4 linked regions of the Saccharomyces cerevisiae S288C genome follow. The gene in region 4 interacts genetically with the main gene of each other region. Each region holds a gene or a part of one and is shown on either strand. Other genes may lie near its edges.

The links.
Region 1: mutations in YPR159C-A (region 4) and MSO1 together harm fitness more than expected from each alone (negative genetic interaction), as found in Saccharomyces cerevisiae (one large-scale study listed by BioGRID).
Region 2: mutations in YPR159C-A (region 4) and YLR012C together harm fitness more than expected from each alone (negative genetic interaction), as found in Saccharomyces cerevisiae (one large-scale study listed by BioGRID).
Region 3: mutations in YPR159C-A (region 4) and FIT1 together harm fitness more than expected from each alone (negative genetic interaction), as found in Saccharomyces cerevisiae (one large-scale study listed by BioGRID).

What each region holds. Positions count from the first base shown.
Region 1 is NC_001146.8:712,521-715,292, forward strand, and holds MSO1 (Mso1p), read right to left. Parts: upstream 1,136-2,772; coding exon 503-1,135; downstream 1-502. Other genes in the region: YNR048W (putative aminophospholipid translocase regulatory protein), read left to right, coding at 1-291; LYS9 (saccharopine dehydrogenase (NADP+, L-glutamate-forming)), read right to left, coding at 1,528-2,772. UniProt on the Saccharomyces cerevisiae protein: Involved in secretion. Component of the secretory vesicle docking complex.
Region 2 is NC_001144.5:169,475-172,286, forward strand, and holds YLR012C (uncharacterized protein), read right to left. Parts: upstream 808-2,812; coding exon 508-807; downstream 1-507. Other genes in the region: LOT6 (flavin-dependent quinone reductase), read left to right, coding at 1-204; GAT3 (Gat3p), read left to right, coding at 1,865-2,290; PPR1 (Ppr1p), read right to left, coding at 2,794-2,812.
Region 3 is NC_001136.10:1,502,733-1,506,509, reverse strand, and holds FIT1 (Fit1p), read left to right. Parts: upstream 1-1,609; coding exon 1,610-3,196; downstream 3,197-3,777. UniProt on the Saccharomyces cerevisiae protein: Involved in the uptake of non-siderophore sources of iron and the siderophores ferrioxamine B and ferrichrome. Has a role in the retention of iron in the cell wall and periplasmic space.
Region 4 is NC_001148.4:859,785-862,040, forward strand, and holds YPR159C-A (uncharacterized protein), read right to left. Parts: upstream 632-2,256; coding exon 530-631; downstream 1-529. Other genes in the region: GPH1 (glycogen phosphorylase), read left to right, coding at 1,522-2,256.

The sequences.
Region 1 (2,772 bases), on a different chromosome or scaffold from region 4:
AAGGGTATTTACATTGCTGATATAGAACTCAACTACCCAGTAAGATCTTTCTATGGAACAAAATCTTTTGTATTAACCACAAACAGTATTATCGGTGCTGGAAACGAGGCATTAGGGATTGTTTATTTGATTGTTGCCGGGATTGCAACTCTTTTCGCCATACTATTCCTGATAAAAGTCATCTTCAAACCAAGACCTATGCATGATCATAGCTACCTAAATTTTGAGAACAGCGATACCCCATTCGATGAGAGTAGTGTCGTTAGTATTCCATTGAGAGAAATTTTATGATTGATTATCATTTACTATAAAATCCCTGCGTTTGATTCGGTCTCTAGGGAAGCGTTGTAATTTCATGTATATTCAAAATAAGGACGAGGTTATATACCATACTATATTATCTCCTTGCATTCTGTATCAAACACTTTATTCAGTACATATACGATACCTATATATTCATTAAATGTTCTTTTCGCTTTATTTCAGCAAGGTATAGTGCTATTTAAAATCCATAATCGTTATTGCGTCTCTTTAGTCTGTCCTTCATTGCCATTACTCCACTACTTGCGTCTGGTGGCGGCGTTGGCGTGCTGGAGGTGTTGAAACTGTTCGACGTTTTACTTCGACCGAGACTTGCCCTGAATTCTTGGCCTGCTGAAGGTCTAGTCGGCCGTGATGAAGCTCTTCTCGGTGTCGCGCTAGAGGAGCTTGTATGATTATTGTATATATCTTGAAACGATTTACTCGCAGGCGTGTACTCCGGTGTGTTCCCGTTTGAAGAAGGTGTACCCATAGGATCTTCTGAAGAAGCCTTCCTTCTGTTAGAAAAGGATGGCGAGAAATGACGCGAGTTTTGCTTCTTCATATCATGCTTCACTTGAGTATCTAATATTTTACGTTCGTTCGGTAAATCTTCCTTCTCCCCCAACCATCCTGGGAACCCCTGGAAAGGATGCTGATTTTCATAGAATTTCACAAGCCCTTTATGGACCAATGTAGTATTTACAGTATCACCATCTTTTTCTGCTTTAATGGATAAATGTGCCAACGATGTAGATAACGATTTGGTTGACGACTTAAACTTGTTCCAAAATCGCCCGGATCCTTCTTGGGAATGCGATACTTGACTCATCATATGCGTGAAATCTTAGTTATACTGGTAGTTGGTATTAGGGCCTAGCGTCTAATAGTTAGTTGGCGTTTTATTTTTTTGCACCTTTCCTAATAGTATTAATCTCTAAAAGTGAAAAACTCCTAAGAGTCTTTACGAGCTCATTTAATACGTTCTGATCAGAAGCAAGACTATAAAATGCAATAGCCAATACTTTTTAGACTAAAGGTAGACGACTTACTAGCGGTTCAAGCTTCAGGAACTACACTCTCAATTACGTTCTAGTCCATTTTGTCCCTCTTTCCGGTTTTTTTTTTTTTACGTTTCCTTATGAAAGTATAAGTAATACTAAAGAAAGATTTATAAAGTGCCGTTACTGTTACGTATGATAAACCTTTTGATACATTTCTTCTTATTTAAGCCACTGTCTTTTCCTTTAGATAGATGCCGTACTTGTCCTTTAGTTCTTTCATGATTGGATCATTAATCTCTGGTGAGTATGGCGCTAGTAAGCCTGGTCCCTTGATTGTACCATCTAAGACGAATTTCGTTGCAATGGCAACTGGATAACCAACAGTAGCGGCCATAGAACTGTAACCACCAACCTTACCATAGTCAACTAAAGTGGATGTTCTTGTTTCGGTAGTTCCATCAGCCCATTCAATACCGAATTTGTGTTGTAGTACAACCATATCTCTTTCATTGTCTTCATATTGCATTAGTTCTTCTAAACGTGCACATAGAGTGTCTAAAGCATTACCTCTTGGTGTGATCTTTGCGTCAGAGAACAAGCCTAACCAAGCAAACCCGGAAAGGATTCTTTCTCTATCTTCATCATCTTTCCAAGTAGCCTTTGAGTCAATGGAAGCAATCAAATCTTCTTTAGAAGTAGACTTGGCACCTAAATATTGTTTTAGTGCTTCGTTCCAGGCAATTGGCTTGCTGAAGATTTCGTTAGCATCATCCTTCAACATACCCATGTCAACTAAAGCCTTAACAAATTCTGGGAAACCTTGATATCTCAAAGTACCTCTAATGACCGTTTCGGCTTCTGGAATATGATAAAGATCCTTGAAAAGGGTAGAGTCTCTATTTGGGTAGCAAACGAATGCATAACCTGGGTAGATGAAGTAAGGCTTAGCAGTGGCCATTAAGTCTTCGGAAGAAACAGTTTCAATCTTTCCGTCTTTCCAGTATTTAGCAGAGTTTCTTAAAGCCAGTAGCACACCTCTGGAGGACCATGAAAATTTGTATCCTAATGGATTATCAGAGTCTTCAGGAGCTGGTAAACCACCACAGTATGACAAGAATGACTTTAGCTTACCACCAGCTCTGTGAACTTCATCAATAGTCTTGACCGCATACAAGTGGTCGATACCTGGATCCAACCCAATTTCGTTCATAACTGTAATACCTGCCTTTACGATTTCTGGTTCCAATTCTCTTAAGGCAGGTGAGATGTAAGAGGAAGTGACGACATCGGTCTTTGTTCTGATGGCGCTCTTTACCACATTTGGATGGAAGGTGTATGGAATCAAAGAGATGACAACATCGTTATCAGCCAGAACTTTGTCTAAGGCACTGTCATCGGTAACATCCAATGAAATAGCCTTGGATCCAGAGGGCTTGGCCAATGCTTGCGCATTGGCTAATGTTCTACA
Region 2 (2,812 bases), on a different chromosome or scaffold from region 4:
GGCGGTCATGGCGGTAGTAAGTGTAATGACCAACTTCAAGAGGTACTACATGGTTTGAAGATGAATGTTATAGGTGGAGTGGCGGTGAAAATACCGGTAGGTACGATACCGTTACCCGAGGACATTGTACCACAACTCAGCGTGCACAATGAAGAGATCCTGCAATTACTCGCATCGTGCATCGAAACAACGAGGAATAAATAAACCATAAAATTTAACTGTAGTCGCAATAAAAGATGAAAAGCTAACACAATTATCATAGGACACTGTAATCCAGACTTTAATTAGTATTAAGTATTGAGTACAAAGTACAAAGTATTATACTAACGGTAGTTTGGGCTCTTCGATTACCCATACACTTTTAATGGACTAATTTCATCAAGTTTCATTCGAAAATTTTCTTAAAATATATATATGCGTAGTGGTATAGTATTCATATTTCATGAACTTATTTCATAAAAAAAGATAAAGCAAACCTAATATTTGGATCGGCGCTCGAAATTATTCTCAGTATTCTTCAGCATTAGACATCTTTAACATATCAATCTTTAAAAGGTTTCTTCTTCTTCTGTAGCTCGGAATATAAGCATTCATATATGACCATGTTGTAACGCGATCGAACCAAGCAACTTCTTCTTGTGCAAATTTCCTAGCAATACCAGGCACACCTCCTTGACGATCAAATGCAATTCTTTCAGTCTCTTGTTCAAAATCTTTTTGACATAAAGCCAGGTATTTTTCCTGTTGTTCAGGTTGCAGTTGAAGATACTGCTGGTAGGTGATTTCTTTGTAATAGACAGTCTTCATTTGAATATGTTCGAGACTTTTTCTCTTAATCTCTATGAATATTTTCTGTCTTGAAGCTGCCGTCTTCATAGAATGTTGTTCTATTATCCACCTCGAACATGGCCTTTTTATACGTTTTTACATTAAACATCCCCTTCATATTAGTTTGTTCTCGACTTAATTCTACTCATGCTTCTGACATTTTTTCATGCCAAGACCGGCCCTGAAAAAGGGTCCGGATATACGGATAGCGCCACACATTCAATTAGGGGAAGTATTATTTGATACATTGTCAGCACACAGCGATTTAACCCATTATTTGGCATGACAAGCAAGCTATTCGACAGTGAAAAATGCACAGAACATTCAAAATTATACTTATAATATGACTCTTTTCTTTTATTGCAGTTGGTATTATATACATATATATATATATATATATATGTATATGTTCCCCGAGACAATGGTTTTATTTCCAAAAAAAGTGTAAGTAAGTTATTTTCTGTGTATAAAAAAATAAAAGAAGCCAGATGAAGTGCCAGGTGGCGTACCAGGACTTCAGCTTTCTTTAGTTTGCATAATGAAAGTATCACTTACAGCTCCCTTGAAGGATTAGACGCTATTAACCCCGATGAAAACGCATCAACAAAACCTTTAACACAGTACTTATTTGGTGCAATACATACTCACACAAACACCTGTAGAAAATCCCCTTATATGAAAATCCCTTTTTTTTCTTGGCAAGTATTTCTGATAAAATGCGGACAACATTACCTGCTTAGCCGCCTGCCACAGAAAATAAGTAGGCTTCTCTGTAAAATGGAATAATAGGCTAGAGGTCAAAAACCTCCTCTTCAGTCATATCTATGTTTTTAAGGGTCTAGGGTCCAATTTGATGGAAAAGAACAAATGGTCGAGCATGTTAATTAATATTTGTTGCTCTGTTTGAAGAGTATATTATAAGACGAGAGGTTCTTTGAGGGAGCTTATCTTACCTTTTCTTGATTTGAAACAATTTCATTAAATGTAAACAATTATCAACTAGAAGCAAATATAAAGCCAGAAGGAAGAATTTGCTATGAACATTAAGACTTTGTGTCATCCAGAATATAAAAGAATCTCCGTTGAATCGTTATTGAATCCGGTAGAGGAGACAATAGACTGCGAAAAACCTCACTCTCAAACAAAAATCAATACTGCTAAACCCATTAGTGCATCTTTGTATGTCACAACGAATAATACTGCTGTTGTTCAGCACAATGTCCAAAAGAGGAAAGGCGTCACCAGGAGATGTCCACAGTGTGCGGTGATAAAAACTTCTCCGCAATGGAGAGAGGGTCCTGATGGAGAGGTGACATTGTGTAATGCCTGTGGATTATTTTATAGAAAAATATTTTTGGTTTTTGGCAAGGATCTGGCAAAACGGTACTTTAACGAAATAAAAGGTGTGAGCGTCAAACGAAAAGTTCCAAAGAGCCTCTATGGAGTTACAAGAACGCGTTAAGAGAATTTATTTCTGCTCGGAATGTTATATACTTATGTCAAAGCAGTGATTATACATTTATCGACTTTAAACAGTTGATAACGAACATTATGTGTTATTCGAAAGTCAAAGTGCCATACAAAACAAGTGGTTTCTCAGTTCTTGCAATTTTTCTTTATCAGCGTAGTCCCAGAAAAAAAAATCATCACTGGAAATGTAAGATGAATTCAAGTATCAAGTGCCGTTGGTATTATAGTTTATCAATTAATACGTAAATATATATATATATATATATATATATATATATGACTATAGTGGCATACTTCTCAATGGACTGTTGCTTCTATCATTTTATACATGCGTTCAACTTTGAAGATTATCACAAAAACCTCAAACTTTTCAATTAATCTGCCCCGGTCATTTAAGTTAGCTCTTTTAGGACTCTCATGTTTTCAAAAAATAGATTGAAAAGAGCATTGGTGGCCCTACTTTCAATCCATTGATCATGATTCTTCGAGCTATCGCTAAAATATTCCACCGGAT
Region 3 (3,777 bases), on a different chromosome or scaffold from region 4:
GTCACCATTGAATAACGTTGCACTTCAACCTGTCCGTTTATCCAACTGTTTATATCGGTAGAAATAAGGGTATAAGAATAAATTGGCTGGTCAATTGATCGATGAAATTATCGAGCTTTTTTTTTTACTGCATGATCCCTGTCTTCTGAGGCTGTGTAACTTTTTTACTGCCTAAGAACTCTCGGACCCTTCTTTGGTGTTGCCTCAGAAATAGTATGGTGTATTAGCACCATAATAAAAATTTTTACAAAAGCCACTATTATCCTCACTCACCGATGAATGAACATATATGACCTCCAAGATATTCGATCTTACTGAATGGGGTAGACTTTATAAGCGGTTGCCGATTAGCTTAGAAGAACAATTCCTTTTTCTTTCCATTTGGTATTGTACTTTTCTAATGAACTTGGTTAGTTCTGCTTTATCTTTTACACCTGGAAACACAGGCCATAGCACATGTCATGATTTCCGATTTTATTTCTTTTGATTCTTTCGTAATCTGCAATTTCATTGATCCATAGCAAAGGAAACTCTAACGCAATAAGAAGAAAATTATGTTTGTACAATAGAGTTAAATACGCTGCTATTTTCGTCAGAATAAGGTTAATGATTATTAACTCTTAAAAAGTCGATTTTTGATGCATCAAGAAGGTAAATTACCCACAAATTTTTAGCCGACTGTGTATTTTCATATCGCTTCGTGCTATTTTATCTTATCGATTATTTGGTAGTCAATGAAGAAAGATTATTTGGTAGCCAATGGAGAAAGATTATTTGGTAGCCAATGGAGAAAAATTATTTGGTAGTCAATGGAGAAACATTATTTTAATCCTTATATTTCCATTAAAGTGCAACACTGGAAGAATTGATACTTCTATGGTACATAATTTGTTAACGATCGTTAATCTGTGCCATCTTCTTCCCATATGTTCTTAAAATATTCGTGATCGCTTTGAACTTATTGGGCAGTATTTTTTTACTGATTATTTAATCATCAAGAACTTTTCTATAAGTTTTGAAAGGAAAAAAAGAGGAGCAATTGTGGAAAAAAGACTAACAAATGGAACAGTATTAGGATCTCACATTAATCGGTTTATGCATCGCTATTTCTAATTGATACTTTCAGGAAAAACGTATTTTATTATAAAATGTTATTGGCCAGACGACAGTGATCGCGCTGAGCACTTTTTCGAGTATCGGGTTTACTGTTTTGATGGTCATTACCATGTTGACAATTACCAGATAAACGAAATAAGCAGTGAATGGTCGCCAATTACAATCAGAGTTTAAACAACCCACCAAAACTTCCATTTTTAACTATGCCGTGCACCCTGTTCCGCACCCTGTTTGTTCCAAACCGCGCTGTCGCACATTTGGCATAATGTAATGACAGACACCTCAGGGCTCAATACGCGAGTTCTAGGAAAGGGTGCAAAAAAATGAATATCTAATATAATATGACACTCGTATACCATTTTTGAAGTGAAGTTTTTGCACTATTTAAACTAATGATTATCTAACTTTTCTATATTCCTAATGCCGTGTTTATTTTCAGAAAGTCCTTTTGTTCGCCTGAATAATAATAGTAATAACAATACAATACCCGAAAATGAAATTGTCTTCCGCTTTTGTATTATCTGCTATCACCGTTGCCGCTTTAGGCGAAAGTATTACTACTACGATAACTGCTACCAAAAATGGGCATGTTTACACCAAGACTGTCACTCAAGATGCTACTTTTGTCTGGGCAGGAGAAGGCGCTGCGGTAACCTCCGCAGTAACTGAAGCGTCTACTGTCGCTGCAACGTCTGCTGCCGCTGAAACATCTGTTGCCGCTGAAACATCTATTGTTGAGCCTTCCACTTCTGCTCAGGGCACCTCTGCTGATGAAGGGTCTGGTTCGAGTATAACCACCACTATTACAGCCACCAAAAATGGACATGTCTACACAAAGACCGTCACCCAGGATGCTACTTTCGTATGGACTGGAGAGGGTGAACGTGCTCCTGCCTCAACTGTTGCTACTGTCGAAACATCTGTTGCCGCTGAAACATCTGTTGCTGAACCTTCTACCTCTGCTCAGGGCACCTCTGCTGATGAAGGGTCTGGTTCGAGTATAACCACCACTATTACAGCCACCAAAAATGGACATGTCTACACAAAGACCGTCACCCAGGACGCTACTTTCGTATGGACTGGTGAGGGTGAACGTGCTCCTGTCTCAACCGTTGCTACTGTCGAAACAGCTGCTTCTCCAGTAACATCTGTTGCTGAACCTTCTGCCTCTACTGATGAAGGATCTGGTTCGAGTATAACTACCACTATTACAGCCACCAAAAATGGACATGTCTACACAAAGACCGTCACCCAGGACGCTACTTTCGTATGGACTGGTGAGGGTGAACGCGCTCCTGCCTCCACCGTTGCAACTTCTAGTATTTCTGCTATTGAAATTCCCTCCACTACTGAGGCCTCTATTGTGGAGGCTTCTTCTGCTGTTGAGACTTCCTCTGCTGCTGAGACTTCCTCTGCTGTTGAGACTTCCTCTGCTGTTGAGACTTCCTCTGCTGTTGAGACTTCTTCTGCTGCTGAGACTTCCTCTGCTGCTGAGACTTCCTCTGCCGTTGAGACTTCCTCTGCTGTTGAGATTTCTTCTGCTGTTGAGACTTCTGCTGTTGAGACTTCTTCTTCTTCCTCTACTATCGAGACCACTTCTGTTAAAAGCTTATCTCCTACTCAGACTTCTCTTTCATCTTCTGTCCAGGCTTCTTCTCCTATTGAGACTTCTTCTGCTGCAAAAACCTCTTCTGTTGTGCCAACTTTTTCTTCTACTACTACTGAAAATTCCTCTAATTCTAAATCCACGTCTGCAGTTGTAGCATCTACTACCACCTCCTCTGAGTCAAGCGCTACTATTGTTACTCCTACTAGAATTGGGCAAGCTTACACAGAGAGTTCTTCTAGGGATGCCCAATCTGTTCGTACCCATGAAAGTAACAATTGGTCATCAAGTTCTTCTGCAAGCACAAAAATGGTATCCTCTATTACAAGAGTTCAAACCACTACCGCTGGTATTTTCACTAACGGTAAGTCGTCCACAACTCCTCAAATCGTGAATTACACGGGTGCGGCTGATTCTATCGCCGCTGGTACGGGTCTGATGGGCGCTGCGCTCGCTGCCGTTATCTTTTTGTAATTTCTGCTAACGACAGATGCGCAGAATCAACCTTTCTGATCTCTCCGTGGTCTTACTTTTCAAAATGGCATTGTGAATTAAGTATTTCATCATAGTTGATAAAGCTTATGTCCGCAATGTTATTTGTCTGCGTGACACTGGCTGTCTATAAGAATGTACCAGTATGTAATATTATATCAAGAAAATATCAGGTGTTGATTAAAATAATCTAAAAACAATGTCTATTTCACTTGTTAAATATGACTTTTCAAAAATAACCATTTTATTTATTTCTTGCTTTTTAAAAGGTGAGAGTGGGTATTTGTTTTATCTGACGCCAAGGAAAATAAAAGTTAAAAAATGACATGATGATTTTATAGTTCAAAACAAGAAATGAACTTTCGTGTTTGTGATCAGATTCAAATGGAGTATAATACTGAAAGAAGGTCGAGAAAGACAAGCAAGCAAATTCACAACTTCATTGAGCGCATTTTATTGAAATTACCTGTAGCAATGAGTAGTTCAGTTTGTCATATAATTATGTTTTTGTGAGAAATTTTAGCTTTTGGTACTGTGCCAGTTATCCGAATTTAAAAAAAAAA
Region 4 (2,256 bases):
AATTATTACCATGGTCATAAAAAGTTACTTACAATGCATACATTTTTCTTTTAGGAAGAAATAAAATATAAAAGACTTATCGTTCAAATCGGGTCATAAAGGGAACTAAAGGTATACTAAGGTAAGACGGGGTTCTCATCTGCACGTAATTTTTTATTATTTTTAGTGAGGGAGAACTTTACCTCTAAGATTGTTTATATAGGTATACACATTTTTGTAAAACTGATTATTCGTTTTTTTTTTTGAAACAAGTTATTAGTACAAAAATCAAGCTCTCACTACTTACCAGTAGTTATTTTAGTAGAATATTATTAACTCTACCGAATAAGTACGATATGAGAAATTGCTGATTTACTTGTGTGTGTTCCTATTATTATCCAGGAGCGCCTCTAATCTATGCTTATAATTTTACGTTGAAAAAAAAGGAGTCTGTATAATTATTTCAAATTCATCCTTTTCTCACGGATATTGTGTACCCTATGAGGTAAATAATTGCGCTTTATTTTCTCCCTGTGTTTGCTCGCTCATCTTAAGACGAAAAAAGTAATGGAACACCTACCATCAATAGAAGTACCACACTCATGTAAATAACAAGCGCAAGTGGTTTAGTGGTAAAATCCAACGTTGCCATCGTTGGGCCCCCGGTTCGATTCCGGGCTTGCGCAGATTTTATTTTTTGCTCCCTTCTAAAGCTCTGGATGATTCACCAACTTATCCAAGGCAAGGTCCAACTACCGTTTCCTTCGATGAAAAAGACAATAGGTAGCTCTGTCAAACCCCGTGGAAACGCAAACTCATCGGGAGTGTCCTACTGCTTTCCACTAGTTATCCGACTAGCAAGGCAACTAGTCAAGATGAAACCGTCTCACGAACATTTGTATACGATCTCTTCTCCTGATAGACAATGAAATATACCCCGGTGCTTGTTTCCCACTAAGGAAAAAAGGCCGCTGCCCCACAGCGGGAAGGCCCTTCAAGGGGTAGCGGCATCGCCTAGTAGCACTGTGGGGGGAAGAATACAACGCTCAACGGAAGAGGAAGCTCTGCGAGATGCAGCCAGCACCTTCTATGTTTCAAGGATAACATTTTGAATTAACAAGGAACGCCTTCCCCAATTACCGTTATTGTATTTTTACTTTTTAGAGACTCTCGAGGAAATAAGTAAGGGGTGGATAATTTTCGCTAAAAAAGTTTCAGGGGAGGTTAATAACTACCATGTGCATGCTACAAAGATAAGGAAGGAACACCGACGAATATATTATATGTATAAAAGGAGCATGAAGTTTGTATAGCAGTAAAGCAAGATTCTTTGTGCCTTCCCGTTTCTTGTTGTACCTTTTGTTTTGATTACGTACGAAGTATTATAAGTTTTTTCTGCTTGCTATTGTAATATAAAGTAAGCACAGATTGAGAAGGTAACGATTACTAAAAATATCCAAAAGAAAAACAATTGGATCTTTTTTGACTTCTCTACATTACAATTTCAGTAAAGCAGCTTTCAACTTAATTTAATTTTGAACAATGCCGCCAGCTAGTACTAGTACTACCAATGATATGATAACCGAAGAACCTACTTCTCCACACCAAATCCCAAGGCTTACAAGGAGACTTACGGGGTTTCTTCCCCAAGAAATCAAGTCAATTGACACGATGATTCCTTTAAAGTCAAGAGCGTTATGGAATAAGCATCAAGTCAAAAAATTTAACAAGGCAGAAGATTTTCAAGATAGATTCATTGACCATGTGGAAACTACATTAGCACGTTCCCTATATAATTGTGATGACATGGCTGCTTATGAAGCTGCTTCGATGAGTATTCGTGACAATTTGGTCATTGACTGGAACAAAACTCAGCAGAAATTCACCACAAGAGACCCAAAGAGAGTTTACTATTTGTCTTTGGAGTTTTTGATGGGTAGGGCTTTGGATAATGCCCTGATTAATATGAAGATTGAAGATCCGGAAGACCCTGCTGCCTCAAAGGGAAAACCAAGAGAAATGATTAAAGGGGCTTTGGATGATTTAGGTTTCAAGTTAGAGGATGTCTTGGACCAAGAACCGGACGCAGGTTTAGGTAATGGTGGTCTAGGTCGTCTTGCAGCTTGCTTCGTCGACTCAATGGCAACGGAAGGCATCCCTGCCTGGGGTTATGGTCTACGTTATGAGTATGGTATCTTTGCTCAAAAGATTATTGACGGTTACCAGGTGGAAACTCCAGATTACTGGTTAAATTCTGGTAATCCATGGGAAATTGAA